7 linked regions of the Macaca mulatta genome follow. The protein of the gene in region 2 purifies or fractionates together with the protein of the main gene of each other region. This does not show direct contact. Links are inferred from orthologs where the notes say so. Each region holds a gene or a part of one and is shown on either strand. Other genes may lie near its edges.

Region 1 (2,457 bases), on a different chromosome or scaffold from region 2:
CCACGCTTGTCACCAGGGGCCCAGCAGCTCAGGGTCCTCAGCTTTGGTGTGCAGCAGGGGAGGCTGAGGCCCAGGGGCCAAGTGACTTGCCCAAGGTCTGCCAGTGGCCTCTGCCCCTGACTCCAAGACCCGTTCCCTTCAGGTCCTGGAGGTACATGAGAATCTGGACCGGCAGCTCCAGGACAGCTGCGAGGAGGACCTGAGTGAGAAGGAGAAGGCCATCGTTCGCGAGATGTGCAACGTGAGGCTTCCAGGGGTGGGGGGCAGAGGCTTGGCACTGGGAGTGTGACCAGGGCCACCCAGCATGGCCATACCCTTCCCCATGTGGGACTCCATTTCTCGAATGCTCAGCGAGGGCTGAGTGGCCTTGGATGGCTGAGGGGAGGCCTCGGAGGCACTGAGAGCCCCGGCTGGTCGTCACCTCACTGCCCCCTGCCCTTCCCAGAGGGCCCGTGGTGTCTGCAGATCTGCCCTCCCCATGAGGGGCTCTGGACAGAGCCTGAGCCCCCCACCCCCTGGGGTTGGTTTGTTCACCCCAGGTGTTCCCTGGGTGCTGGCCCCTGGGCCTCCCAGCTTGCTGGTGCCCCCCGTGGCTGCTGGCTGGGCAGGTGGTGCTCAGAGCAGGAGGTCCAGGTGGAAACCCTCAGTCTGCCAGGCTGGGGCCGCCCAGGAGAGCCCCGTGCCCAACCCAGCTGAGCACCATCAGTGGTCTCCTTGGGTGCTTGCAGGAGCCATCGGGGAAGGAGTTTCATAGGGTATGAACCCAGGGCTTAAATGGGGGCGAGGGGCTCTGAACTGTGCAGCCCCTCCCCCACATCACCTAGTGGGGCTTATGGACCCCACTGGACAGCTGCAAGGCTGAGCCACACCCCAGCAATGACCTGCTCAGGCCCGATAGCGGGCATGCAAAGACCTGATGTGGGTGTCTCTGGGCCTGCAGTGGCCTCGGCGTCCCTCCTGGCCCCATGGCTCTGAGGTCGTGGGTGATTCTGCCGTGATGAGGCGGCGGACGCACACAGCCGGCAGGTGGACGCGGGTGAGGCCACCACTCACAGCTCTGTCCTCTTCACAGGTGGTCTGGAGAAAGCTGGGAGATGCAGCCAGCTCCAAGCCCTCCATACGGCAGCACCTGTCTGGGAACCAGTTCAAGGGGCCTTTGTAGGGCCACTCTTCTGTGGACGTGGACTGGCCCTGCTGGGAGTCCCCAGGGGGAGTTTCAGGCCCCAGACACGGGCAGGACCTCCAGTCCAGCCCTTGTCTTCTTTCTCTGTGGTGAACTGTACATAGGACGCTGCCCGCCCTGGCCCAGCTGCCATGGCTCCGATGCACTGGCCCAGCTGCCATCTCCCGCCTCACACACCAGCAACCTGGGAAGGAGACGCCGCGGCCGTTCCTGCAGCAGAGCAGCCCGGACGCCTTGTTCCCTCTCTGGGCCCCGAGCCCTGAGCCCCATGAGCAGGAGGCTGCTTCTGAGATCCAGCCTGGGGACTGTCCAGGCTCCTGTGTCCCGCCTGGGATGGAGGGGCCACTCATCAAACCCTCTACTCCCCGGCTGCCACCCACACTGGACGGACAGCACCGCTACCTGGGTCTTGACACAGGTGGTACCACTTCTCGCCCACGTGCCGTGGCCTGGCCCACCAAGCACTGGGTCCCCGGCACGTGGACAAGGCCGCTCACCATGTCTGTGGCTGGCTGGAGGCTGCCCTGGGCCCTTCCTGTGACCCCATATCTGGAGCTCAGGGTGCCCTCACCCCTGGGGATCTGCACCCAGCCACCCAATGCCTGCTGCTCCTTGCTTTTGGAGGTCATCCCCCTCCCCCACAGTCTCTGCAATGTCCCCCTGCCACCCTGTCCAGGCTATGCCCTTTTTGGGCTCCTCCTGCCCCATGCCTGGGGCACGTCCCTATTTGTGGTTTACATGACAGGCCAGTAACATAGGAAGGGCCTGGGGAGAGTTTCTGGGCTGAGCCATATGTGATTTTCCTGATGGGCAGCACTGGGCCACAGCTGGGGCTCTGGTTGGCTGTGACCTCCCCCAGGGCCTGGCTGCATCTCGGGTCCCTGTGGACAGAGCTCTCCGGGCTGCAGATGAGAGCTGTTCTTTTTGGGAAGGAGGGGGTCTGGTCAGGTTCTGCCTTTAGTTTGTGGTGTGACCTTTAGCAGTTCACTCAGCCTCTCTGGGATCTTGGTGGAAACAGGGCTCTGAGGTTCCTTTCAGCCATGCTTATGGCTTCAGGTCATCCGGCACACACAGGGCAGGGGTCCGCACTGGGGGGTGTGAGCCGACAGCTGACCTGCTGGAGAGGCCAGAGGGCGGCCGGACGGAGCTGAGTGCCGCTGCCTTGCCGTCGCTGCGGGTGGACGGTTGCCTCCCCACTCTGAGCCCGTGTTCTCCGTTGTAAAATCGGCAGCAGAAGGCCCTCCTCACAGGATTCTGGGATCAAGTGAGATCTT
Region 2 (4,014 bases):
AGGCCTCGATTTGGGAAGGAGGTGAAAAACCCAGAATATTTAAGAATCCCTGGGTAGCACTGTCAAACTAAATATGCTTCTGTAGGATGAAGAAGTACTGAAATCTACTGATAGAATGTGTGCTGAACACAGGACAGAGAGAAGGCTGAAAAAGCCTGAAAGCCACTTGTTTAGACTCGGAGCTCCTTGAGTGAAGAGACTGTGTCTTGTTTTAGGATTGCTGGTGCCTGGCAAGGAGGAGGTCAGCATGTTAACGCTTGCTAAATTGAGAGAAATGTGTCTGGACTACAATTCTTACCCCCGCCCCCCAAAAAGGAAAAAAGATTGTACAAAACCAAATATTTAATTTGAATTCACAAAAACAAATTGAATCACTTAGACTATTTTTCCCCCAATGTCTTTTCCAGTAACCTTCCACAACCCACTCGTGAAGTTTAAGTACCTGTAATCATAAAAAGGTGCATCTAATTTGAAAGGATACAAACATTTTAAAACATAAATCTGTTTTATGCCTATAAAATAGATGGAAAATGAAATAAAATATAAAGTTGAGATACAAACATATTTTTAAAATATTTAAATTTACAAGCAAAGTTTAAAATATATAAAATTGGGTCCGGCGCGATGGCTCACGCTGGTAATCCCAGCACTTTGGGAGGCTGAGGCGGGTGGATCACGAGGTCAAGAGTTCAAGACCAGCCTGGCCAAGATGGTGAAACCTCCGTCTCTACAAAAATACAAAAAAAAAATTAGCCGGGCATGATGGCGGAGTGCCTGTAATCCCAGCTACTCGGGAGGCTGAGGCGGAAGAATCGCTCAAACCCGGGAGGCGGAGGTTGCAGTGAGCCGAGACCGTGCCATTGCACTCCAGCCTGGAAGACACAGTGAGACTCCGTGGGGGGGGGGGGGGGGGAGAGTAGGCCTCTACTTTCCCAAATGTAAACAAGACATATACATTTTTAAATTAACTGTATTTCTCTCATAGAACAGTTACAAAATACAATTTTTCTTCAAAGCAAATTTCTCAAAGACCCAGCAAGACGTTCACATCTGAAACAAAGTCTTAGGTAGTGAACACTGACTGCAGGCACCAGGGGGCCTCCCAGGAATAACTTGATAGTAAAGGAAAAGGTAAATAAGAGTTCCTGGTAAAACTTTTGCTTCCTATTCAGTCTTAAGACTGCTGGATGGCTTTCACTTCTGGAGCAAATATACAGTATTTAGTTACAGAACGGCTACACACAGAACTTGGGTTTTAGATACCGACACATTCGTTGAAAAAAACGAGTTACCCCTCCCCCATTAAAATATTCTTTGATGATTTTCCAAATATAAGTACATGTTGCTTTACTGTAGCAAACAATTATCTTAAGGTAATTTGAAAGCAAACAGTACATATGCAATCCTTCGATGGCGGCTAACAAAGAGGCCTCTAAATTGTTTAAAAGGGATTAATGGCTTTTCTACACACTCACAAAACAACTAGTGATGACGAAAATTTTAGGGTAGAAGGACTGTTTGGCATTTAACTTTGAATAATATCCTGCAATGAATCAATACATTTAACTCCTGGCTTTCCCCCCCCTTGCCTTCCCACCAACATAAAACTATTCGATAAGAACACCAGGGCCCGGAAAGTTCAAATGCTGCGTAGACTTGCAAATACCTTTCGAACACAAGACAGGCTTTAAAAATAGATCTTCACTAAGTTGTGCAGAAATTAAGCTCTGCTCAAATCAAACGCAAAAGCCAACATCTACATACATCACATTTCTTACGTGCATCTTCAACCTGATCAAATATTTTGTCTTACAATTTTTTTAGGCCGAATAACAAATGGTAGATAAATTCCCGCTAATTTTATCCTCTCTAAGAAGAATCCATTCTATGGCATCGTGTAAAAATGCAGAGCAGACGAAGCATTCCTGTTACGGACAGGTTTTTATATATATACATAAAATTCACTCGCGGAACGACAATCGGAGGCAGCCAAGGGCAATGCACAAAGAGAGAAGAAACACTGATTCCACGGACACACAAAGCCCGGTGGCAGGCATCCTCTCCCCCTCCTCGGAGGAGTCACCGGAGGCGAGCACGACGGCGCGCGGAGCCCGGCGGCCTTTCCGAAAGGCTGTCTCCCGCAGACCCGCTCCGCACAGCTGCCGGCCGGCGGGCCTGGCCACCAAGGGTCCGCGGGGACGGCCCCCTCTCCCCCGATTTCCCCTGACCGCGCTCCCGGAGGCCGCTCCCCGGCGCCCAGCAGCCTCCTCGCCCCCTCCTCGGCTGGTCTGCCGCGCCGCGCTCCCAGAGACAGCCTCGGGGCGGGAAAGAGGTCCCCTCGCGTTTCGGCGGCGGAGGTGGACGCAGGGGTCGGCGGCGGCGCCCGACCTCCCTCCGTCCCACGGCCCGGCGCGCACTCACCCTCCAGCAGCCGGGTGATGAGGCTGTCCACGTTCAGCTCCCCGTCCGCCATCTTGTCGGCACAGACTCTCCTTCCCAGCAGCGGGAACAAGGGCTTCTCGGCGGCGGAGGCTGCGGCGACGGCTCGGCGTTCTCTCACCTACAAGTCACGCGGCGTTTCGACCCCGGCTCCAACTCCCCCTTTTCCCGGGCCCTCCCCCCACCCCCTCCCCGCTGGGTAGCGAGAGCGCGCGCACACTCGGAGGCACCCACGGAAAATAAATAAATAAACAAGAGGGGCCCCCACAAACAGGGCCGCGTCAGACCAAGGCCGCCACCTCCTCGTCCTCGGCACCGCCCAGCTCCGCAAAGCTCACCAGCGCCGCCGACGGCCCCACCCGCAGCGCCACTCACTCCGCACGTCCCTTGCGCGCCACCGCGTCACGCAGTTCTCCGCGCAGGCGCCCGGCGCGCTCCCCGCCGAGGTTCCCCTCGACGCCTGGGCCTCCGCGCAGCCGCACTGGAGCGGCTTCTGCCGCCGCCGTCTTCGCGCAGGTGCGTCGCCCTCTCTCTCCACGTCCACGGCGCCGAGTTTCGCCGCCGCGGCGCAGGCGCCAAGGAGGTGCCCGGCTCTGCCGCTCGGAGGAAGCCCCGGTTACGCAGAGCGGGCTGGGGCAGGGCTCACCTTCCTCCTCCTCTGCTTCACTGGCGTTTTCCAGACGTGGTGGTTGCACCCTTTTGGCCTCGCTTTCCTTTTCATGGCTTCATACCTTAGATCTGCAAGCAGTTCCTCGTGTTTCTTCCTAGCCGGGAAACGCGAACTGCAGCGTTTGGAACCCGGGTTTGCGCTTGTGAAAAGCAAGAAGGGGTTAACTCTGCTGGAGTTCGACATTGCAAATAAAGGTCTTTACCCCCAGTGGTTCTACAAAATTAGTTCCGCAGGGATTCTGTTTGAAAGAAGAGTTAAAGTGGGCCCTGTAGGAGTCAGCAATAATACAATTTTACATGGGTGCATATGGCTGCCTGTGTTTAGCGCTTTCACACATCTTGTATCTCCATCCACGCCGTGGGTATCTTTTTTCCACAGTGTGTTTCTGTTGCTGCTTCCAGTATATTGCTTAATCATCCTACCTGGTAATTATTTATGCATTTTTCTCCCACTCTCGACTCAGCTCCTAGGGGATAAAAACACACTAACTTATCTTTGTGCGCACAGCACCCACCAAATATTTCCATCACGTAATACTGCTTCTAGAAAGGCAGGAGGAGAGGCAGTCACGCTAAGGATCTAGGCAAGCCAGATCTTTTGTCCTGTTTTAGGAGGTGGCCAACCCTTACTTATTCCACAGGTGTTTTTCCAGAAACTCAGATCTGATATTGCCCCAAGTCCAAGGCAGTACTTCCCCCACTCACATATCACTAATAGTAGCTAACATTTGTTCATATCCCTGTTATGTGCTGTGCCACTGTTTTAAATGTTACACCCGCGTTACCTCATTTAATCCTTATAACAGCCCTGTGAGGTAGGTACTATTATTATCTCTGCTTTGTAGATGGGATTTACCGAGGCACAGATGGTTAAAAAACCTAGCCCAAATCACACAAATAAGCAGC
Region 3 (3,500 bases), on a different chromosome or scaffold from region 2:
TCCAGGACAGACTAACTCTGGTTTTTAGGTAGAAAACGTAATGTACCCATGCCAACTCAAACCTTAACAGATACTGTGGTAAGCTAAATAATGGCTCTCGAAAGATGTCCACATCCTAATTCCCAGAACCTGTGAATGTTACTTTATATGGCAAAAGGCATCTTGCAGATGAAATTAAGGGTTTTGAAATGGAGAGGGAGATTATCGTGGATTATCTAGGTAGGCTTTAGGTGTAATCACAAGGGTCCTTATAAGAGGGAGGCAAGAAAATCAAAGGCTGAAGGAGGAGATGGGAAGACTGAGCAGATGCTGGAGTGATGTGCCTCGAAGATGGAGGAAGGGGCCATGAGCCACGGAATGCAGGCGGCCTCTGGTAACTGGAAAAGGCGAGGAACCAGCCCTGCCAACAACTTGAAGTTAGTCCAGTGAAAGCGATTTTGGACTTCTGTTCAATGCAACTATAAAATAATTCACTCATGTTGTTTTAAACAAATTTGTGGTGATTTGTTACAGTGGACCCAGGAAACCAATTTAGATAAGGAAGGGCTTTCCTGGGTGAAATAAGGAGAGGGGCCAAGAAGCAGCTTCAGATATATAGAGATGCAACTACTAGAGATCCTGGCCCCTAACAAGAAAAAGCTCTTGCCACTGCCAGAGATGAGGAATGTTGCAGAAAAAGGAGAAGGGGCAAAAAGTTAGGGTATGAGTGAGCACGTAGTCTCCTCCCACTGTCCTGTCGGTTCTTTCCTTCGCAGTGAATATCTGATCCATTGCATTGCTGATAACGACTGAGAATTCCACCAGTGGCTTCCTCTTTCGCCCTCACTGAAGAAATCAGTCAACTGCTCATTGAAGTACATTCCTTTGGGCTGGGAATCTTTTTGTTCATGCCCACTTGCCCTAGCAGCTGAGATGGTACGGAATCTGCCAGGCCCTCCACCCCAAACCAGGCAGCAGAAGCAAGCCCGCTCACCGCCAGCTGGTTCTGGAGCTGTTTGACTTGCTGCTGCAGTGCCTCCAGCTGCTGACTCTGCCTTTTGGATGAGCTTGTTGAGTAGGAGAGCTGGGAGAGGCTGTTCAGGGCCTCCTTCAATTTGGTGACTTCCTTTGACATCTCGTTTATCTAGGAACAAAGGAAAATGGTATTAACAGGCAGTAACATGTCTGCAAAGCAAAATTTCATATATTTCTAAGCCTCAAACATAGTCATCTCTTTTGGTCTCTGGGACTTAAGACTTTGGAACAATTCCCTTTTAATACATTTAAATAAAAAAACTCATAAAATGAAACAGATAACAAAATCAGGCAAACTAACAAAGCCCATTGCATCCATTAGGTTCAGATAAAGGCCCTTGAATTACATATTATGTTTTGGTGATGGTGGTAACAAAAGCTGTGATGTTGGTTTCCTATTTTAAAAGGGGTATGATTGAAAAAAAAATCAGAATTAGGATTTTAGGCTTTATTTGGAGACAGCTATATTTCATCCAATACTGCTGACATGGGCGATCAGGAATAAGGCCTAGGAAGCCTGCTATCTCTGGACATCTTTCTTTAAAGTAAACACAAGTAACTCCCCACCGTACCCCCACCACTCGCTAATCCCTGTTTCCCTGGCTGGTAAAGCTCTTTTGAAACACTCATTACAAAAGAATAAAGATAAGTAGTCTCTAATGAATGCCATTCGGAACCTCTGAGACAGGGGACTAGCGATGCAGAGCTGATTGAGGTGTGGAACTATCCCCCCGAACTTTCCCTTTGCTTCCCTCCTTCCTCCAGCAGCATGACCAGCACCATCTCCTGTGTCCAGTGCCATCTTAAACTGCTGGATCGCCACATTCCTCTTCCTCTCCTATATACCTGTCAAAGGAGGGGCCAGTGAGGGTAGCTTTTACGCTGACTTGAGGGGAAGCTGATGGACCTTAGGGGAGCAGGATTAAGTCTAGGAGTATTTTAGTTTCACATTATGGAGGAATCTGTTCTGAATCCAAAAAAAGAACTTGAAGTTTGAGGTGGATCACAAATACTTTTCAGTTTGCAAGTTCACTTCTGATCCCCAACACTGCCAAAGCTTCTGTAAAATGATTTTTGAAGGACAAATATGCATCACATATGTGAAAATGCTTTAGTATAAGGAGAAGTGGCCAAAGATTGATGTTTGCTTATTTATTATTTTTTGAGGCAGGGTCTTACTCTGTTGCCCAGGTTAGAGTGCAGTGGCGTTGATATGGCTCATGACAACCTTGACTTCTAGCGCTCTAGTGATTTTCCTGCCTTAGCCTCTTAAGTGGCTGGGACTACATGCTCGCACCACCATGCCTGGCTAATTTTTAAATTTTTTGTACAGATGGGGTCTCACTATGTTGCTGAGGCTGGTCTCAAGCCATCCTCCCATTATGGCCTCCCAAACTGCTGGAATTAGAGGAGTAAGCCACTATGCCCAGCAGATGTGTTTTTAAAATATAAATACCCAACAAACTATTCTTTTTGAGATGAAGTCTTACTCTGTTGCCCAGGCTGGAGTGCAGTGGCCTGATCTTGGCTCACTGCAACCTCCACCTCCTGAGGTTCAAGTAATTCTCCTGCCTCAGCCTCCCTAGTAGCTGGGATTACAGGCATGTACCACCACACCCAGCTAACTTTTGTATTTTTAGTAGAGATGTGGTTTCACCATGTTGGCCAGGATGGTCTCAAACTCCTGACCTCAAGTGATCTGCCCACCTCAGCCTCCCAAAGTGTTGGGATTATAGGCGTGAGCCACCACATCTGGCCGATCCAACAAACTATTCTTAATGTGGCTTTGGGGACAGATAAAGTTCATGTGCAGAGTCTCTGAGCATTCACTCCAGTTTAGTGCCAACACTAGAAGTATTTAATGTAGTAAAAGCCAAAGAGACTAAGACTTATTGCTAGAAACCCAACAGCAATGCAGTTTCACCAACCTTTTTATCCTTATCTTCCTCCAGTTTTGAAGAGCTCTCAGAATATCTTTTCATTTCTGCAAGTTCTTCCTGAGCTTGCTGGAATTTTTGCAGAAGTTCATTTACTTCTTGCTCTTTGGATTTCAAGAGAGTCTGAATATTTTCCTTTTCTCTTTTCACCTGTGAGACCTCACTTCTAATCTGGGCAACCTCTGAATGGACCTTCTCTTTCTCTTTCACTGATTCCTTTAATTTCGATGCCAACACACTCACTTCACTCTCTAAGGATGACTGGAGCTTTTCATAGGAAGACCGGGGTACCATTGCATCAGTCATAGCAGCTTTCTCTTCTAAGAGTTGTTTCTCCAGCTTTGCTACTTCCACTTCCTTGCTTGCAAGGTGTTCCTTAAGATTGCTTATTTTTTCTTCCATCTCTTTTGCTGCAGTCCGCAGCGTGGTTATCACTTGCAAATGTTCTGTGATAGAGACAGAGTTCTCTTTCTGTGCATCGACCAGTTGTTTGAGCTGGGTCAACTCGTTCAACACTTTTGAATACTGAGACTTCATTTCGGACAGTGC
Region 4 (3,500 bases), on a different chromosome or scaffold from region 2:
GAGGGCAGTGGACAGGGAGCCTGGGGGAGTTAGGGAGCGCAGGGCAGGGTCCATGGTGTGCAGACGGGGTGGTGGCCACCTGGGTGGTCAGTTCCTGGCAGGAATTACCACAGAAAGTGCCACACCCTCTAAGGCAACAGCAGTCGCCCCAAACAGCCACTTCCATGGGCTGGACCAGGCACCCTTGCTGGGGCATGGCTGGGGTTGCCCAGCATTTTCTAGTACAGCGTGGTCTCCATGCTCCGCTGTGCTGCGTGCTTCTTCACCAGCTTCGAGAGCTCTGCGTGGATAGTCTTGTTGGAAGGTTCCAGCTTCAGGACCGCCCTCAGGATAGGGATGACCTCACTGTACTCACCCTGCTGGGGCAGTATCTTGCCCTTGTGGAAGACAGCCTTAATGTTGTCCAGATGGTGCTCCCACGAGGTTGCAGGAGCACAGGGCTGCGCAGTAGTGGTCGAGCTTCACCTGTGAGGCCACCAGGTTGTTCAGACACCTCACCCTCAACTGCAGGAGCTGCTTCTCCTCCTCGAACGTCATGTCCACTTTGGCGCTGGAGGTGACGGTCTTGATGGCAAGGTCATAGGAGTTGGTGGCCAGGACGAAGTCCGCCCACTGGTAGTGGGCACTGCCGCACTCCCACTTCCGGTTGGCCAAGGCCACGCGCTCCTGCCCTATGAGCATCTCCAGGTCAGGCCAGTCCACGGCCATCTTCGGGGTCACCTCCAGGCATAGGGCCGCGTGCGGGGGATGTATGGGCTCCTGTCCTGGGGGCTGTAGCAGTACATGCAGTCAGCAGTGACCATGGCTGCCTCCCCCACGTCCATGAGTTAGACACTGAGATCCAGGGCCTGGATGACCTCACAGACGCTCAGGGTGAACACTAGCTCCGGCTCCTCCTGCACCCACATGCCATTCTCTTGTGATGTCTGCAAATGCATGGTGACCACCTGGCCCTTGACTGAGCAGCTCAAATCCGGTGGCCCTGGGACAAGCGTCTTCTTCCTCAACAGCTGGTTATGTCTGGCCACTCTTCTGGGGCCGGGGACGGGGCAGGCTCAGGCTCCATGGCAGTGAGGAACTCTCGGGCCAAGGTCCCGGGCTGTTCAGTCTCTTCCACCAGGGGCTGTCCCATGTCCTCCAGCAGTGGCAGCTCTCTAAGGTCATCTTCCTCCTCCTCTCCCTCCTTGCCCTCTGCATTCTCGACCCCATCCAGCACCTCGAAGTCCTCGAGCAGTGGGACCCTGGCAGGAGGCGGGGGCAGAGGGCTCAGAGGGTTCAGCACACGATGCCATGCTGCTGAGGGGATAGGAATTGGCCCTCTGGCTCCAGGACCCCTGCCTGCGGTCCTGTGCCCCCCTCCGCCATATTGAAATTTTTATGTTTCTGATCTATTTTTTGCTTTAGGTAAGGGGGCAAGGAAGACTGAACGAACCAAAAGGAAAAGCTATTTTTAAAGTTTTTTTTTTTTTTGGCCAAGTAAATAATAGCAAGCAAATAGCTACTTGATTAAACTATCAGTGTGCCTGTCTCCCTTTAAAAGCTTTGCATTTCCAAAATCAACTTAAGGACTAGAAAATATTTTCATTTGTTGCTAAGATTGAATTTTCATGGAAAAAAAAACTGCATTGGAATTCCCCCACACCCTCCCAAACTGCACCTTATCTTTGTTGTCTAGTAGAGCAGAAATCCGAGGGCTTGAAGAGGAACGGTAGATGGAAGAGCCTCGGTCCCTTAGAGGTTCCCTGGAATTGGCCACCTCACTCAGCATGTTGTGGCTGCCAGTTTTTCTCAGTCCCAATCTCCACGAAGAAGGAGATTCATCTTTGGGCTCTTCTGGCTTGTTAAAAAGGCCAGAAGAGAACTACGAGAGAAGCAAAAGAAATGAAAAATAAAGGCTCTGATGATTCTTTTTCAGCCTATTTGCCTTTTCCACACTTAACTAAGTTCAGCGAGGCAACATAAGGTAGCTAAGAACAAATACAGGGCAGTCTTTCTGCCAATGTTCCCTCCCTCACCCGGCAAACACTAATAACCTCTCCAGGCTCTTTCTTCCTAAGTCAAAAATAGCCTCGGATTCTTCACACAGTGCTCCTACCTGACAGAGTTGTTATGAGAAATTAAATACCATTTGCTATCCTTGTGCAATTAATACTGACCTGGAACACCAGGAGATTGTATTCGAGTAATGTATCTTCTTCTAACTCACTGTGGAACTGAAAATAAGATACTTTACTTCTCTAGGTCTCAACATGCTCACCTGTAAAATGATGATAATGAGCTTAATCCCTTATAATATGTGGAGACTGGAAAAAATGAGACCAGCTAATTTATCTTTTATTTTTTTTTTTTTGAAGTAGGGTCTCACTCTGTCGCCCAGGCTGGAGTACAGTGGCCTAATCAGAACTCACTGTAGCCTTGACCCCCTGGGCTCAAGTGATCCTCCCACCTCAGCCCACCAAGTAGCTGGGACTACCAGCATATACCACCATGCCTGGTTAATTTTCTCTAAATTTTAATAGAGACAAGTTCTCCCTATGTTGCCCAGGCTGGTCTCGAAGTCCTAAACTCGAGCAATCCTCACACCTCAGCCTCTCAAAGTGCTGTGATTACAGGCATGAGCCCATGTCCAGCCAGGAACAGGCTAATTTATAAATACATTTTAAGGTACTATGATAAAGTGATTTAAGTTAACATTGATAAAAATTCTAGAAGCCACTCCACTTAAATTCTGCTAATTTCAAGGAAATTTATTTGATCTAGAGTAGCAGTTTAGAGAGCTTTAGATTTCACTGAGCAGCCTCCAAAAAAAGCCAAAAAAAAACCCCATAAAACTAGAGGTCAAAGGGTTGCTATCTTTTTATCTTTTAAATTTAATTTTGCCAAAAGAAAACAACATTCTGAAAGATGTTTTCTTTTTGAACTCATCATCACCACCATTTCATTAAAAATGAAATGTTAATATCAAAAAAGAAAGCTTTATGGAAAGCTTACATTGTCCTTAATTATCTCATTTTGCCATAAACTAGGGAAACATCATAGATCAGTATTAGGCCAAGGACCAGTTTGGGGTACAACTAGTCTTTGGAACACAAGCCAACAGACCCTTCCTGAGGTCCAAGACCTTTTCAAGAAGACTTAGGCCTTTCTTCCAATATAAGGCTACCTTTACTGCCTGATACGGTGAAAATAAATAAAACTATTAATCACTAATCTCCAACTCACATAAGATTTTCTCTTTTCATCAGTCATCTGAATGTACACATGTATGTACTCCTTCCAGCTTTAGGGGTTCAATGTCAGCTTTTTACAAGCTACTCTGATTCTAAGGGGGAAAATGCCTTCCCCAGCATCATTTTAGCAAAGTAGAATAAGTATCTGTGTGTGTGTGTGTGTGTGTGTGTGTGTGTGTGTGTGTGTGTGTGGTGGTGGTGGTGGTGGTGCTGTTGTTGTTGTTTTTGAGACAGGGTCTCACTCTGTTGCCCACGCTGGAATGCAATGGC
Region 5 (4,077 bases), on a different chromosome or scaffold from region 2:
TTGGGGCGCACTAGAATCACCGGGGAAATCACTTTTTTTTTTCTTTTTTTTTTTTTTTTTTTGAGACGGAGTCTAGCTCTGTTGCCCAGGCTGGAGTGCAGTGGCCGGATCTCAGCTCACTGCAAGCCCCGCCTCCCGGGTTCACGCCATTCTCCTGCCTCAGCCTCCCGAGTAGCTGGGAGTACAGGCGCCCGCCACCTCGCCCGGCTAATTTTTTTTTGTATTTTAGTAGAGACGGGGTTTCACCGTGTTAGCCAGGATGGTCTCGATCTCCTGAACTCGTGATCCGCCCGTCTCGGCCTCCCAAAGTGCTGGGATTACAGGCTTGAGCCACCGCGCCCGGCCTTTTTTTCTTTTTTAAAGACAGAGTCTCGCTCTTGTCACCCAGGCTGGAGTGCAGTGATACGATCTCGGCTCACTGCAACCTCCACCTCCTGGGTTCAAGCAATTCTCCTGCCTCAGCCTTCTGAGTAATTGGGACTACAGGCGCGCACCACCATGCCCAGCTAATTTTTGTATTTTTTGTAGAGACGGGGTTTCGCCAGTTGCCCAGGCTGGTCTTGAACTCTTGGGCTCAAATGATCCGTCCGCACTGGGCACAGCTGGAATGTGCATTTTTTTGTTTTTTGTTTTGAGATGGAGTCTCACTCTGTCGCCCAGGCTGGAGTGCAATGGTGCCATCTTGGCTCACTGCAACCTCCGCCTTCCGGGTTCAAGCCATCTTCCTGCCTCAGGCTCCCAAGTAGCTGGGATTACAGGCACACCCCATCACACCCGGCTGATTTTTGTATTTTTAGTAGAGACGGGGTTTCACCATATTGGCTAGGCTGGTCTCGAACTCCTGACCTCAAGTGATCGGCCCGCCTCGGCCTCCCAAAGTGCTGGGATTACAGGCATCAGCTACTGTGCCCGGCCTGGTATCTGCATTTTTATGAACAGCCCAGGAGGGTGTAATGCAGAGTCCTTGGCATGCACTTTCAGCAACACTGCAGTAAGGACTAGAAATCGCACATCAAATGCTGGCAGAGTGCTTGGGTGCTTAGTAGGTGCTTAGCGAGTGTTTGTTGAGTGAATAAATGAACAGGAATGGATGGAGAATAGGAACATCCAAAGGAATGGATGAGTAACCTTATTTCCTTGGTCCTTGTCTGGAAACTGGGGCAACTGGGGCTGAGGTTCAGGTGAGTGGCCAGCCAGTCATCTGGTCTTTGCCTCTCCCTCATTTTCGCCAGGCCTCACCTAGAGGTTCAGCCATTGGATTATAGGAACTGCCCTGCCCTGACTCACCCAATATGGAGGAGGTGCCTGGGGATGCCCCCTGTGAACACTTTGAGGCCAACATGCTTACCCAGAACCGCCGTCAAAACTGCTTCCACCCTGAGGAGGCCCACGGAGCAAGATACCAGGTGAGCCAGTTCTCCACGTGGTTGAGGTGGTTTGGGATGGGGGCATGGGTGAAGGACTGGGCCTGTGGTGTCCGCTAACTCACAGTTGAACCCAGATGCTGACCTTCCTCCTGGCCAGAGCCTCGGTTTTCCCACATTGCAATGAAGTGGTTGAACCATGTGAATGTTTCACAATCTTCAGTCACTTTCCTCCTGCTTATATGATACGATTGTTACCATAGCCTCATCTAATCTATTACTTACTTTGTTAGTCTTTAAATCAACATCTTTTTCCCCTCCTATTGTAAAAAAACTTCACATCATCAACACAAGTAGAAAACTATAATTATTTCCTGTGTATATAAAGTTAAGGAGAAAGGTAGAGCCTGGGCACAGAGGCTCACACCTGTAATCCCAGCAGTTTGGGAGGCCAAGCAGGTGGATCACCTGAGGTCGGGAGTTTGAAACCAGCCTGGCCAACATGCTGAAACTCCATCTCTACTAAAAATACAAAAATTAGCTGGGCACGGTGGTGCATGCCTGTAATCCCAGCTACTCGGGAGGCTGAGGCAGGAGAATCACCTAAACCCGGGAGGCGGAGGTTGTGGTGAGCTGAGAACACGCCACTGCACTCCAGCCTGTCTCAAAAAAACCAAAACACAGAAGAAAGGTAGAAAAAGAAAAAAACAAAACAGAAATGTCATTAAACCCTAACTCGAGAGTATTTTCTTTTTCTTTCTTTCTTTTTTCTTTTTTTTTTTGTAAGACAGAGTCTTGCTCTGTTGCCAGGGCTGGAGTACAGTGGCGTGATCTCAGCTCACCACAACCTCCACCTCCTGGGTTCAAGCGATCCTCCCACCTCAGCCTCCCAAGTAGCTGGGATTACAGGTGCCTGCCACCATGCCCAGCTAATTTTTGTATTTTCAGTAGAGACAGGGTTTCGCCATGTTGGCCAGGCTGTTGTTAAACTCCTGACCTCAGGTGATCCACCTGCCTCGGCCTCCCAGAGTGCTGGGATTACAGGCATGAGCCACTACACCTGGCCTCGAGAGTGTTTTCTTTTCTTTTTTTTTTTTTTACGAAGATTGAATCTGCTTTATTTATATACACAATGGGGCAGCCTAATGCACATCATAACATTAACTTTTCCAAACAAGTTTGCTAAGAAACTGCTCCTATATTTAGTGTTAAAAATAAAACAATCTTCCCATTTAGAAAAATCAAGACATCCGTCAATTAGTAAAGCCTATTCTTCCTCCCAGCAATTTGTACTTTCTTGTATTCATTTAGGAATTGTGAATTCATGAGAAAAGAACACTTTTTTTTTTTTTTTTGAGACGGAGTCTCACTCTGTCACCCAGGCTGGAGTGCAGTGGCCGGATCTCAGCTCACTGCAAGCTCCGCCTCCCGGTTTACGCCATTCTCCTGCTTCAGCCTCCCAAGTAGCTGGGACTACAGGCGCCCACCACCTCGCCTGGCTAGTTTTTTTGTGTGTTTTTTAGTAGAGACGGGGTTTCACCTTGTTAGCCAGAATGGTCTCGATCTCCTGACCTCGTGATCCGCCCGTCTCGGCCTCCCAAAGTGCTGGGATTACAGGCTTGAGCCACCGCGCCCGGCCGAAAAGAACACATTTTTTATGTGTTAAATATCTTCCAGGAACAACAGTTTACAAGTATTCATTTGTTTAAATAAACACAACTATTTTCCTTCTTAAAATGTAAACATCCAGTAAATAAAACATACATGATATTCCAGGTATAGAAATATTAGTAACTCACTTATGAAACAGGTGCATTTTGGTATATTTGGTGGTAAGGTTTTTCTTTGTCTTATGTATAAAAGTACTTGCACAAAAAAACAGGCTATTACTATTTAAAACACTATTCCTTCACCCAGTTTCCTCACTCAAGTAGAAACTCATGAATTTCTGTGATTTTCGCTATAGGACCAGGCCACAGGAAAGGGCTAAAATATCTCTAATTAGAGCTAGGGAAAAGTGTTTTCTTGAGACTTGAAGGCAGTCATTCGTCACTTTGTGCTCGAAGACATTCCTCAGTGAACTTCTCTCCTAGAGCCTTCAGAGTAAAGCACAGGATCTGGGCTCCCGGAAGGGGTTACTTCCGGCTGGAACACCCACCAGCAGGGCATCCTTGCAGGCATTCTGCATACAGTATTGTTGAAGCTCTGCAGCTGCCTGAGGGACCTTGATCCTCTCCATGCCAGCCTCCAACTTGAGCTGCTCCACCAGGCGCTGCAGGGCGCTCGCGCTAGCGCTGGAGGACATGGCGGCGGCACTGGGTTCTGAGGGCCGAGAGTGTTTTCTGTGGAAGGCTCTGAGCTTGAGTCCTGCTGTCTCTTTGTCAAAAAGGGAGATTAGCAGATGTTAGAGAGATGTTAAGAATACACCAGCATCATCTGGAGATTTTCTTTCTCTCTCTCTCTTTTTTTTTTTTTTCCTTTTGGAGATAGGGTCTTGCTCTGTAGCCCAGGCTGGAGTGCAGTGGTCCAACCATGGCTTACTGTAGACTCAACCTCCCAGGCTCAAATGATCTTCCCACCTCAGCCTCCTGAGTAGCTGGGACTACAGGCACATGCCACCACGCCCGGCTAATTTTCTTGTAGAGACGGGATCTCACTATGTTGCCAGGGCTAGTCTCAAGTTCCTGGGCTCAAGCGATCCCCCCACCTCAAC
Region 6 (3,500 bases), on a different chromosome or scaffold from region 2:
GGGCAGAAGCAGGGGCATTCCTGGCAGGGAGAGGAGCTCTGTGGAGCATGGAGGCTGGCTTTGGGGGAGGCCAGCCAGGAGGTGGCAGCATGCCTGTCGGGGAGAGGTGGAGGCAGGGCTGGACTGCCAGGGTAGGCTCTGGCTTGCAGTGTCCTGCCTCCCCTCTAAGGACTCTGGCCTTGGTCCTATAGATAGCATGGAGTATGTGGCCATTGGGATTTTTTGGAAAGCCACTGCCTACAAAGTGGGAGGGCATGAAAGTGGGCAGTGCTGGGAGGCAGGCGAACTGGTTAGGGGCCCAGACAGTGTTCTGGTAGGGGTAGGCCAGGACTGCTCAGAGTATTGGCAGAGGGTCTGGAAAGGAAGGGTGGGTGAGCACTGCATTTCCGGGGTCAGAGTGACAGGCTGTGTTCCTGGGGTGTATGCAGAGTATGAAGGGGAGGGACACGCCAAAGGTCTGTTTGTGCGTTCCACTTACAGACCTCCTCTGGGTACCTTATAGATGTCCGGTACTGTTCCCATCACCATGATGGGCAAAGCCAGAGCTGACCATTGTTCTTGTGCATCTGCAAACCAGTGACTGTGTTGTCACACACTGGCATGGGGCTCTGTAGGAGAGAACAGGCTTCCTGAGCTGCTAAAGCAGGAGGAACCTGATTTGGGTAGAGGTGGGGATAGGGCTATGCTGTTGCAGGGAGTTGTGGGGGCTTCTCTGGAGAAGTGACACACTGAGTAGAGAGCCAAAGGGTGAGATAGAGGGAAATAATTAGGCAAGCAGGAGGGTAGATGGGGGACGTTCCAGGCAGAGGGGACAGCACATGCAGAGGCCCTGTGGCAAGTCTGAGGATCTGCAGGAAGGCCTGTGTGGCTGGGGGACAGAGAGCAAGGGATGTTTGCAGCAAATACTGGAAGGGGCCTGAGACTGAGTGCCAACATGTCTGTGAGGTTGTGGGGCCTTTTAAAAGAGCAAATCAGGAAAGAAGGCATAGGTTTGTGCAGCTGCGGGGGTCTGGTCTGGGGCATGGTACCTGGGAGGAGCTGGGAGCTAAAGCTGGGAGTTGGGAGCAAGGTTGGGCTGGGACTTGAGATTTGTGGCTCAGAGTGCACACAGGTGGTGTGGGAGATGGGCCAGTGCCCCAGGGCAGTGAGTATAGAGAGAACAGAGGATCCAGAACTGAGCTGTGGGGGACTGGAGGTCTGCGCTGGGGTCACCTGGAAGCTGGGAGAGGAACCAGGATTGTTCAGGAAGCCACAGGAGCAGACTGGCGAGCAGGGCTGGGGCTGCAGAGAGGGGACAGAGAGCGATGGAGGAGCAGAGACTGGCGAGCAGGGCTGGGGCTGCAGAGAGGGGACAGAGAGCGATGGAGGAGCAGAGACTGGCGAGCAGGGCTGGGGCTGCAGAGAGGGGACAGAGAGCGATGGAGGAGCAGAGACTGGCGAGCAGGGCTGGGGCTGCAGAGAGGGGACAGAGAGCGATGGAGGAGCAGAGACTGGCAAGCAGGGCTGGGGCTGCAGAGAGGGGACAGAGAGTGATGGTGACCCTCATCTGCCCTTTTACTTCACATGTACTGTCTCACTAGAGCTTTTGTGAGCTTGGGAGGCACATATCACTCCCATTTGACAGATGGGATTACTGAGGCTTGGAACATTAGTTGCATTGCCCCAAGTCAGAGTATCAGCGACAAACCGAAGCCTCCAGCCTCCCTGTGAGAGGGGTGCAGTGACAGGGAGTCTGGTGGGAGCTCTGAGGCCGAGCTCTACTTTCCTCTCTGGGTTTCAGTTCTCAGGCTCAGTCAAAGAGGGTTAGTAGTTGGGGTGCAATGGACTCCACAACTGTAGGAATCCCCTGGCGACTCTGGCACCAGTGCTAGGATGGGGGTACCCTTTGGCTCCTGCTGGCCCCCACCAACCCAGGGCCGTGCCTTCCTCCCTCAGCTGCAAAGCCTGGAGCAGGAGAAGGGGCGCTGGCGGGTGGAGAAGGCGCAGTTGGAGCAGAGTGTGGAGGAGAACAAGGAGCGCATGGAGAAACTGGAAGGCTACTGGGGCGAGGCCCAGAGCCTGTGCCAGGCTGTGGACGAGCACCTGCGGGAGACTCAGGCGCAGTACCAGGCCCTGGAGCGCAAGTATAGCAAAGCCAAGCGCCTCATCAAGGACTACCAGCAGAAGTACGTGGCTGGGGGCTGGGCGGCCTGGGCCCAGGGAGCATTGAGAGGCTTTTGGGGGCAGTCCCTCCCCACCCCTCCAGCTGAGTAGGGAGGCAAGGAGCACAGAAGTTGGAGGGCCCCATGGTGGGACACCCAGCCTGGAATGACATGCATCAGAGCCAGCACAGAGCCAGACCCCCAGAGGCTTTGGGAAAACCTGGGGCCTCCCAACCTGAGAACAGGGGAGGACAGAGCTGCCCAGGTAGAGCTGAGGACCTGGGTCATCCTGGATGGAAGCCAGACCACACACCCTTACCTGCCATCTGTCCCTTGCCTATGCCCAGGGAGATAGAGTTCCTGAAAAAGGAGACTGCACAGCGTCGGGTTCTGGAGGAGTCAGAGTTGGCCAGAAAGGAGGAGATGGACAAGCTCCTGGACAAGGTGGGCTCGGGGCGCCCTGTGGGCAGGGCCCAATGGAGGGAGCAGCACTGAAGCCCCTACCCTATGGGTCCTGGAGGGAGGGGATGCCATGTCCTCACCAGGGGGGTGGAAGGGGCTGGGATCATGCCTGGTGTCCAGACCTGACCCCCTACCCTCCTTTGTTTTCCAGATCTCAGAACTGGAAGGAAACTTGCAAACACTGAGGAATTCCAATTCTACTTAACAGGAATCATTCCTTGACAGGACAATAATTAACCCCCTCCCATTGTCCTCCCTCCCCTGTCCTCAACACCCCACCCCTCCCCCTACCAGCCTGGGGACAGGTGCCCCGACTCCCCCCCACCCCTCCACCCCACCTCCCCCAGCTTCAGGGACCAGAGGGCTCATATCACAGGCCCCCTTAAGATGGCCTGGGCAGACAGAGGTGGCTGGAAGGGCGGCCTCTTTCCTGCCCCATGGGGCTGAGGCACAGAGGCCGAGGGCTGCCAAGGGCTGGCCTGGTGGTCGATGGACACAAGCACCTGCACATCAAGCTGCCAGACTTTACACACTCCAGCTTTTGTCTCTGGACTGGAACGGGGCTGGGGCTCTCCCAGCATCTGCCAACTGGAGGCTGCTCCCTGCCCATGGGGCACCTGGGTGGCCCCTGGGCCTCTTGACTTGAGATTCTACCTTCTCGGCCCTTCCCTCTCCCCCATCATTGTGCTGTCTCTGTTGCATTCCGACCCTCCTGCTTGGGGGGTGGGGGCATTGCCTCAACACCTCCCCGATCCCTGTTCCCTGTCCTGGGAGGGATAGAGTCCACCCCAGAGCCCGGAGGCTGGGCCTGGCCCTGGCCCTGCACTGATTTCTCATGTGTCCTTCGGGAAAAGGGGAGTGAGAGTAGGAAAAAGGGAGAGTTCAGGACACCTGATC
Region 7 (3,973 bases), on a different chromosome or scaffold from region 2:
CCCCCGAGGCTGGGCGGGGCGCGGCCGCCCAAAGAAGCTTTGTTCCCATTTTAGCGTCTGAGAGCTTGCTGCCGGCTGGGAAGGCCCCCTTTGTCCGTCAGGCCCTTTCGGGGAAGAGGCCGACACCCGGCACACGCGATCCAGGGCAGAGGGGAGCCTTAGGCGCGCAGAATTGGCTGCGCCCCGCCGAGAGCCTCCTGTGGATGGGGAGAACCCCTCGACCCCTCTGCTCGCTTGAGCTCTTAGAACCCAGCGCCGCCGACCGCAGCACTTTCCGATTTGCTGCGCCTAGGGCAGGCGGTCCCTATGTGCGGTTTCCACCGTAGTTGGAGGCCGCAGGCGAGCCGTCGGGTCGTCAGCCACGACCCTAGTCGGGCATCTCCCAGGTCCTGGGACGGAGGCCGAAGGCCAATCACACTGCAGCTAAGTCTTGCGATTGGACGGCAGTGAGAGCCGATTGGCCACCGCCGCGAGTTTCGAGCTCCACCCTCTCCCTTTTGCCCCAACTCCAGCGCCTAAGCTTCCGGCCAATGAGACGGCGCTTTATAGACGCCCTCCCTTCGCTTTCTTCTCCCCACCTTGGAGAGGGAGGGGAAGTCCTGACTGGCCAAACTGTCCTCGGAAGCCCCCTTCCCTTCACCAATCACCGAGGGAGGTACGCTCCCAGCGGAGTTTTCCAGCCAATTACAAAGCGGCGGCGGCGCCCAACCGTGCAGTTTCACCAGCGTCTCTGGGTTTCACCGTCTTCAACTCTTCAAGCTTTTTCGTGAGGGCCGGCGACTCTGATTGGCCACTGTTGCCATTGTCGAATGTCTCCTCCAGCCAGCCACCGAACAAGGCGAAATCACCCTTTCCGTTCGGCTGCCTTCGGCATTTTCCGCTCTTTGGGCGTGGCTTTCCAGCGTCACTTTCTAATTGGTTTCTCAGGCCGATCGGCTTTTTCCGGGAGGAGCCGCAAACAAACGACGTCCGTGATTGGCTCCGTTCGGGCTTCGGCTCCCAGCCGAAGCGGGCGAGAGTGGGGCTCGGGCGGCGATTCCCAGACGCCTGTTACGCGGGCGGCGGTGCGCTGGGCGGTGTAAGGCTGGGTGGGGGAGGAAGGAGGTGGAGGAAGAGTAGGAAGGGGGAGGGGGAGTGGGGAAGTGCAAGGCGGCTGCGCAGACAGCGCTCCTCACACAGAGCAGCCCCTGACCCGGGCGAATGCGGGCTTGTGCCGCCGCTGCCGCCGCCGCCCGGGCCGAGTGACAAAGGAAGGAAGGAAGGAAGCGAGGAGGAGCCGGCCCCGCAGCCGCTGACAGGGTTCTGGGCTGGGGGCAAAGCGCGGACACTTCCTGAGCGGGCACCGAACAGAGGCGAGGGGCGGGAGGGCGGCCGAGCTGTTGCCGCGGACGGGGGAGGGGGCCCCGAGGGACGGAAGCGGTTGCCGGGTTCCCATGTCCCCGGCGTATGGGGAGCAGTCGAGGAGCCGCTGCCTGGGGTCTGAAGGGAGCTGCCTCCGCCACCGCCGCCGCCATGGCCGCTGGATCCAGCCGCCGCCTGCAGCTGCTCCTGGCGCAATGAGGAGAGGAGCCGCCGCCACCGCCCGCCTCTGACTGACTCGCGACTCCGCCGCCCTCCAGTTCGCCGGGCCCCCGCCGTCAGCCCGCCGGATCCCACGGCTGCCGGAGCTGCAGCGTTTCCCGTCGCATCTCCGAGCCACCCCCTCCCTCCCTCTCCCTCCCTCCTACCCATCCCCCTTTCTCTTCAAGCGTGAGACTCGTGATCCTTCCGCCGCTTCCCTTCTTCATTGACTCGGAAAAAAAATCCCCGAGGAAAATATAATATTCGAAGTACTCATTTTCAATCAAGTATTTGCCCCTGTTTCACGTGATACATATTTTTTTAGGATTTGCCCCTTCTTTTCTCTCCTCCCAGGAAAGGGAGGGGAAGGAATTGTATTTTTTCCCCAGCCGTAAATCATCTATATGTTAAATATCCGTGCCGATCTGTCTTGAAGGAGAAATACATCGCTTGTTTTGTTTTTTATAGTATACAAAAGGAGTGAAAAACCAAGAGGACGAAGTCTTTTTCTTTTTCTTCTGTGGGAGAACTTAATGCTGCATTTATCATTAACCTAACACCCCAACATAAAGACAAAAGGAAGAAAAGGAGGAAGGAAGGAAAAGGTGATTCGCGAAGAGAGTGATCATGTCAGGGCGGCCCAGAACCACCTCCTTTGCGGAGAGCTGCAAGCCGGTGCAGCAGCCTTCAGCTTTTGGCAGCATGAAAGTTAGCAGTGAGTATTGATTTTATTTTACGCCCCTTTTCCACTTCGCCCTTAAAATAAGAAATCTCGGAATACCAGGATCTGAAAATATTAGACTTCCTAATATAACAAACAAGCAATGGAAAAGGGCAAAACCTATCTTCAGTCAAGGATGAAGCAGCTCCCTCTTTACTCCTCCCATACCCCCTCCCCCGGTCTCATTAACCTTGAATTGAGATAATATGATTTTTATTTGGATGATTCGATTTGAAACTGCTTTCTTATACTTTTCTTGCTGTTGGTAGTGAGTTTCATCAAGTGCTTGAGTGTTTCCACGTTAGTGATGACCGTGTTTACTTGCCCATCCTTTAGAATAAAGAGAAGGACAAGATTTGATTAATAAACCATTGTGCACATTTGCAGAATGTATGTCTTTTGGAATAAGAGGGTATTTTAGGTCTCAGGATTTATCATAGTTTGGTATACTTAATAGAGACATTAAACGTCCCACCCTCCCAACATTTTTTTCTTGTCTGTATGACTACACATAGTATTTGTTCTTAATCTGTGGATGAACTTGCTCAGTAACCATTCACATTTGGAGGCTGTCATTGATTTCTCTCTTTAGAAGGGACTAGTGGGAGCCAATAAATACCCAGCAGCAGTAGCATCTCTGTATGCATTTGTGTTCGATTGGATTAGTGGTTTGATGTGTTCTCTCTTAACCTTCCTGTTTTGACATTACCAACCTGCCACCGTATAATTTATATTTAATCAAAAGGTAACATAGAAGTATTAATAGGTCCAGGTTTTGATTGAGATTTGTTTTGTCATAGTGCCAAATAGTAAGTTAAATGTTGTCACTGGCTCATTACATTTAAGTTCAATTTTGGAGTACTGTTGCGCTCCTGTTAAATGTTCTGGAGGGTTCCTTAAAAAGGACGATTTAAAATACTCTTGCGTTAGTTTCCATCACATTTAGATAACTGTGGATTTAGTTAGAAGAATGTGGCTTTAGTCCTTTCCATTTTGGCTTTTGCAGATGGCTGTGGTCCTGGAAATAATAGGGATATTTGGACTGTGTTCAGGGTTGTAGATAGACTACTCTTGTCCTGGGTTTGTGCTGAGAAGTATGCTTTTGAAGTGTTTAGTATATACTAAGTATCTAATGTTCCAGTGTATCTCTATTTATGGAGAAGTTCATGTGGTGTTTAATGACAGCTTGTTTAAACATACTTTCAGAATTTAACAAAAATATCTATGTTGTTTCCTTATTGTGGGAAAGAGGGTCATCATGAGGGCAAAGAAATTACTGTGTTGCTTAGAAGAACGGAGAGAACTAAAGAACTGAGATTTTAAGAACTGACACACACAAAAAACATGTATGTTATGTGAAATTGATTATATTCTTAGGCAACATAAAATGATCACTTTTAGTTGAACTCAAGATTTCATTTCGTGTTGGCTTTGGGAACTAGCCTGAAACAGGGTAGTCTAGGTAATAGCTGAATGGGAGATTATTTTTCAAAGTTAATTTTTTTTTCCCCCGGTGGTTTGCAAGTAGAGAATGCCGGGGTAGGAAAAGAGGACAGCTGATTATGCATCTTTCAGGGAAGGGTCGTGCTTTCTAAGCGCTTCATGGAGTCATTTGAAAAATATTTTAAAATTCCGGGGTAATTTTCAGCTATGATGATACAAATCTTATAATAACTACTTAAGAGCCTCTGT

The links.
Region 1: the proteins of PPP1CB (region 2) and CCDC85C purify together in Homo sapiens (affinity purification with mass spectrometry; 3 studies listed by BioGRID and IntAct, with this or other methods). This does not show direct contact. The link is inferred for Macaca mulatta from reciprocal best matches to the Homo sapiens genes PPP1CB and CCDC85C.
Region 3: the proteins of PPP1CB (region 2) and RAI14 purify together in Homo sapiens (affinity purification with mass spectrometry; 3 studies listed by BioGRID and IntAct, with this or other methods). This does not show direct contact. The link is inferred for Macaca mulatta from reciprocal best matches to the Homo sapiens genes PPP1CB and RAI14.
Region 4: the proteins of PPP1CB (region 2) and PPP1R12B purify together in Homo sapiens (affinity purification with mass spectrometry; 4 studies listed by BioGRID and IntAct, with this or other methods). This does not show direct contact. The link is inferred for Macaca mulatta from reciprocal best matches to the Homo sapiens genes PPP1CB and PPP1R12B.
Region 5: the proteins of PPP1CB (region 2) and TRIOBP purify together in Homo sapiens (affinity purification with mass spectrometry; 3 studies listed by BioGRID and IntAct, with this or other methods). This does not show direct contact. The link is inferred for Macaca mulatta from reciprocal best matches to the Homo sapiens genes PPP1CB and TRIOBP.
Region 6: the proteins of PPP1CB (region 2) and PPP1R9B purify together in Homo sapiens (affinity purification with mass spectrometry; 4 studies listed by BioGRID and IntAct, with this or other methods). This does not show direct contact. The link is inferred for Macaca mulatta from reciprocal best matches to the Homo sapiens genes PPP1CB and PPP1R9B.
Region 7: the proteins of PPP1CB (region 2) and GSK3B purify together in Homo sapiens (affinity purification with mass spectrometry; 3 studies listed by BioGRID and IntAct, with this or other methods). This does not show direct contact. The link is inferred for Macaca mulatta from reciprocal best matches to the Homo sapiens genes PPP1CB and GSK3B.

What each region holds. Positions count from the first base shown.
Region 1 is NC_133412.1:172,838,191-172,840,647, reverse strand, and holds part of CCDC85C (coiled-coil domain-containing protein 85C), read left to right. Parts: intron 1-142; coding exon 143-241; intron 242-1,072; coding exon 1,073-1,162; 3' UTR 1,163-2,457. UniProt on the Homo sapiens protein: May play a role in cell-cell adhesion and epithelium development through its interaction with proteins of the beta-catenin family. May play an important role in cortical development, especially in the maintenance of radial glia.
Region 2 is NC_133418.1:96,222,336-96,226,349, forward strand, and holds the start of PPP1CB (serine/threonine-protein phosphatase PP1-beta catalytic subunit), read right to left. Parts: upstream 2,801-4,014; 5' UTR 2,474-2,800; coding exon 2,422-2,473; intron 1-2,421. UniProt on the Homo sapiens protein: Protein phosphatase that associates with over 200 regulatory proteins to form highly specific holoenzymes which dephosphorylate hundreds of biological targets.
Region 3 is NC_133411.1:35,887,697-35,891,196, reverse strand, and holds part of RAI14 (ankycorbin), read right to left. Parts: coding exon 2,943-3,500; intron 1,124-2,942; coding exon 974-1,123; intron 1-973. UniProt on the Homo sapiens protein: Plays a role in actin regulation at the ectoplasmic specialization, a type of cell junction specific to testis. Important for establishment of sperm polarity and normal spermatid adhesion.
Region 4 is NC_133406.1:60,098,549-60,102,048, reverse strand, and holds part of PPP1R12B (protein phosphatase 1 regulatory subunit 12B), read right to left. Parts: intron 1,862-3,500; coding exon 1,658-1,861; intron 1,416-1,657; exon of another isoform or gene 1-1,415. UniProt on the Homo sapiens protein: Regulates myosin phosphatase activity. Augments Ca(2+) sensitivity of the contractile apparatus.
Region 5 is NC_133415.1:13,825,858-13,829,934, reverse strand, and holds the start of TRIOBP (TRIO and F-actin-binding protein), read left to right. Parts: upstream 1-1,277; 5' UTR 1,278-1,292; coding exon 1,293-1,406; intron 1,407-3,067; exon of another isoform or gene 3,068-3,462; coding exon of another isoform or gene 3,463-3,740; intron 3,741-4,077. Other genes in the region: uncharacterized protein LOC107000659, read right to left, coding at 3,463-3,740.
Region 6 is NC_133421.1:59,875,257-59,878,756, forward strand, and holds part of PPP1R9B (neurabin-2), read left to right. Parts: intron 1-1,935; coding exon 1,936-2,165; intron 2,166-2,488; coding exon 2,489-2,585; intron 2,586-2,754; coding exon 2,755-2,808; 3' UTR 2,809-3,500. UniProt on the Homo sapiens protein: Seems to act as a scaffold protein in multiple signaling pathways. Modulates excitatory synaptic transmission and dendritic spine morphology. Binds to actin filaments (F-actin) and shows cross-linking activity. Binds along the sides of the F-actin.
Region 7 is NC_133407.1:163,632,914-163,636,886, forward strand, and holds the start of GSK3B (glycogen synthase kinase-3 beta), read left to right. Parts: upstream 1-1,173; 5' UTR 1,174-2,187; coding exon 2,188-2,275; intron 2,276-3,973. UniProt on the Homo sapiens protein: Constitutively active protein kinase that acts as a negative regulator in the hormonal control of glucose homeostasis, Wnt signaling and regulation of transcription factors and microtubules, by phosphorylating and inactivating glycogen synthase (GYS1 or GYS2), EIF2B, CTNNB1/beta-catenin, APC, AXIN1, DPYSL2/CRMP2, JUN, NFATC1/NFATC, MAPT/TAU and MACF1.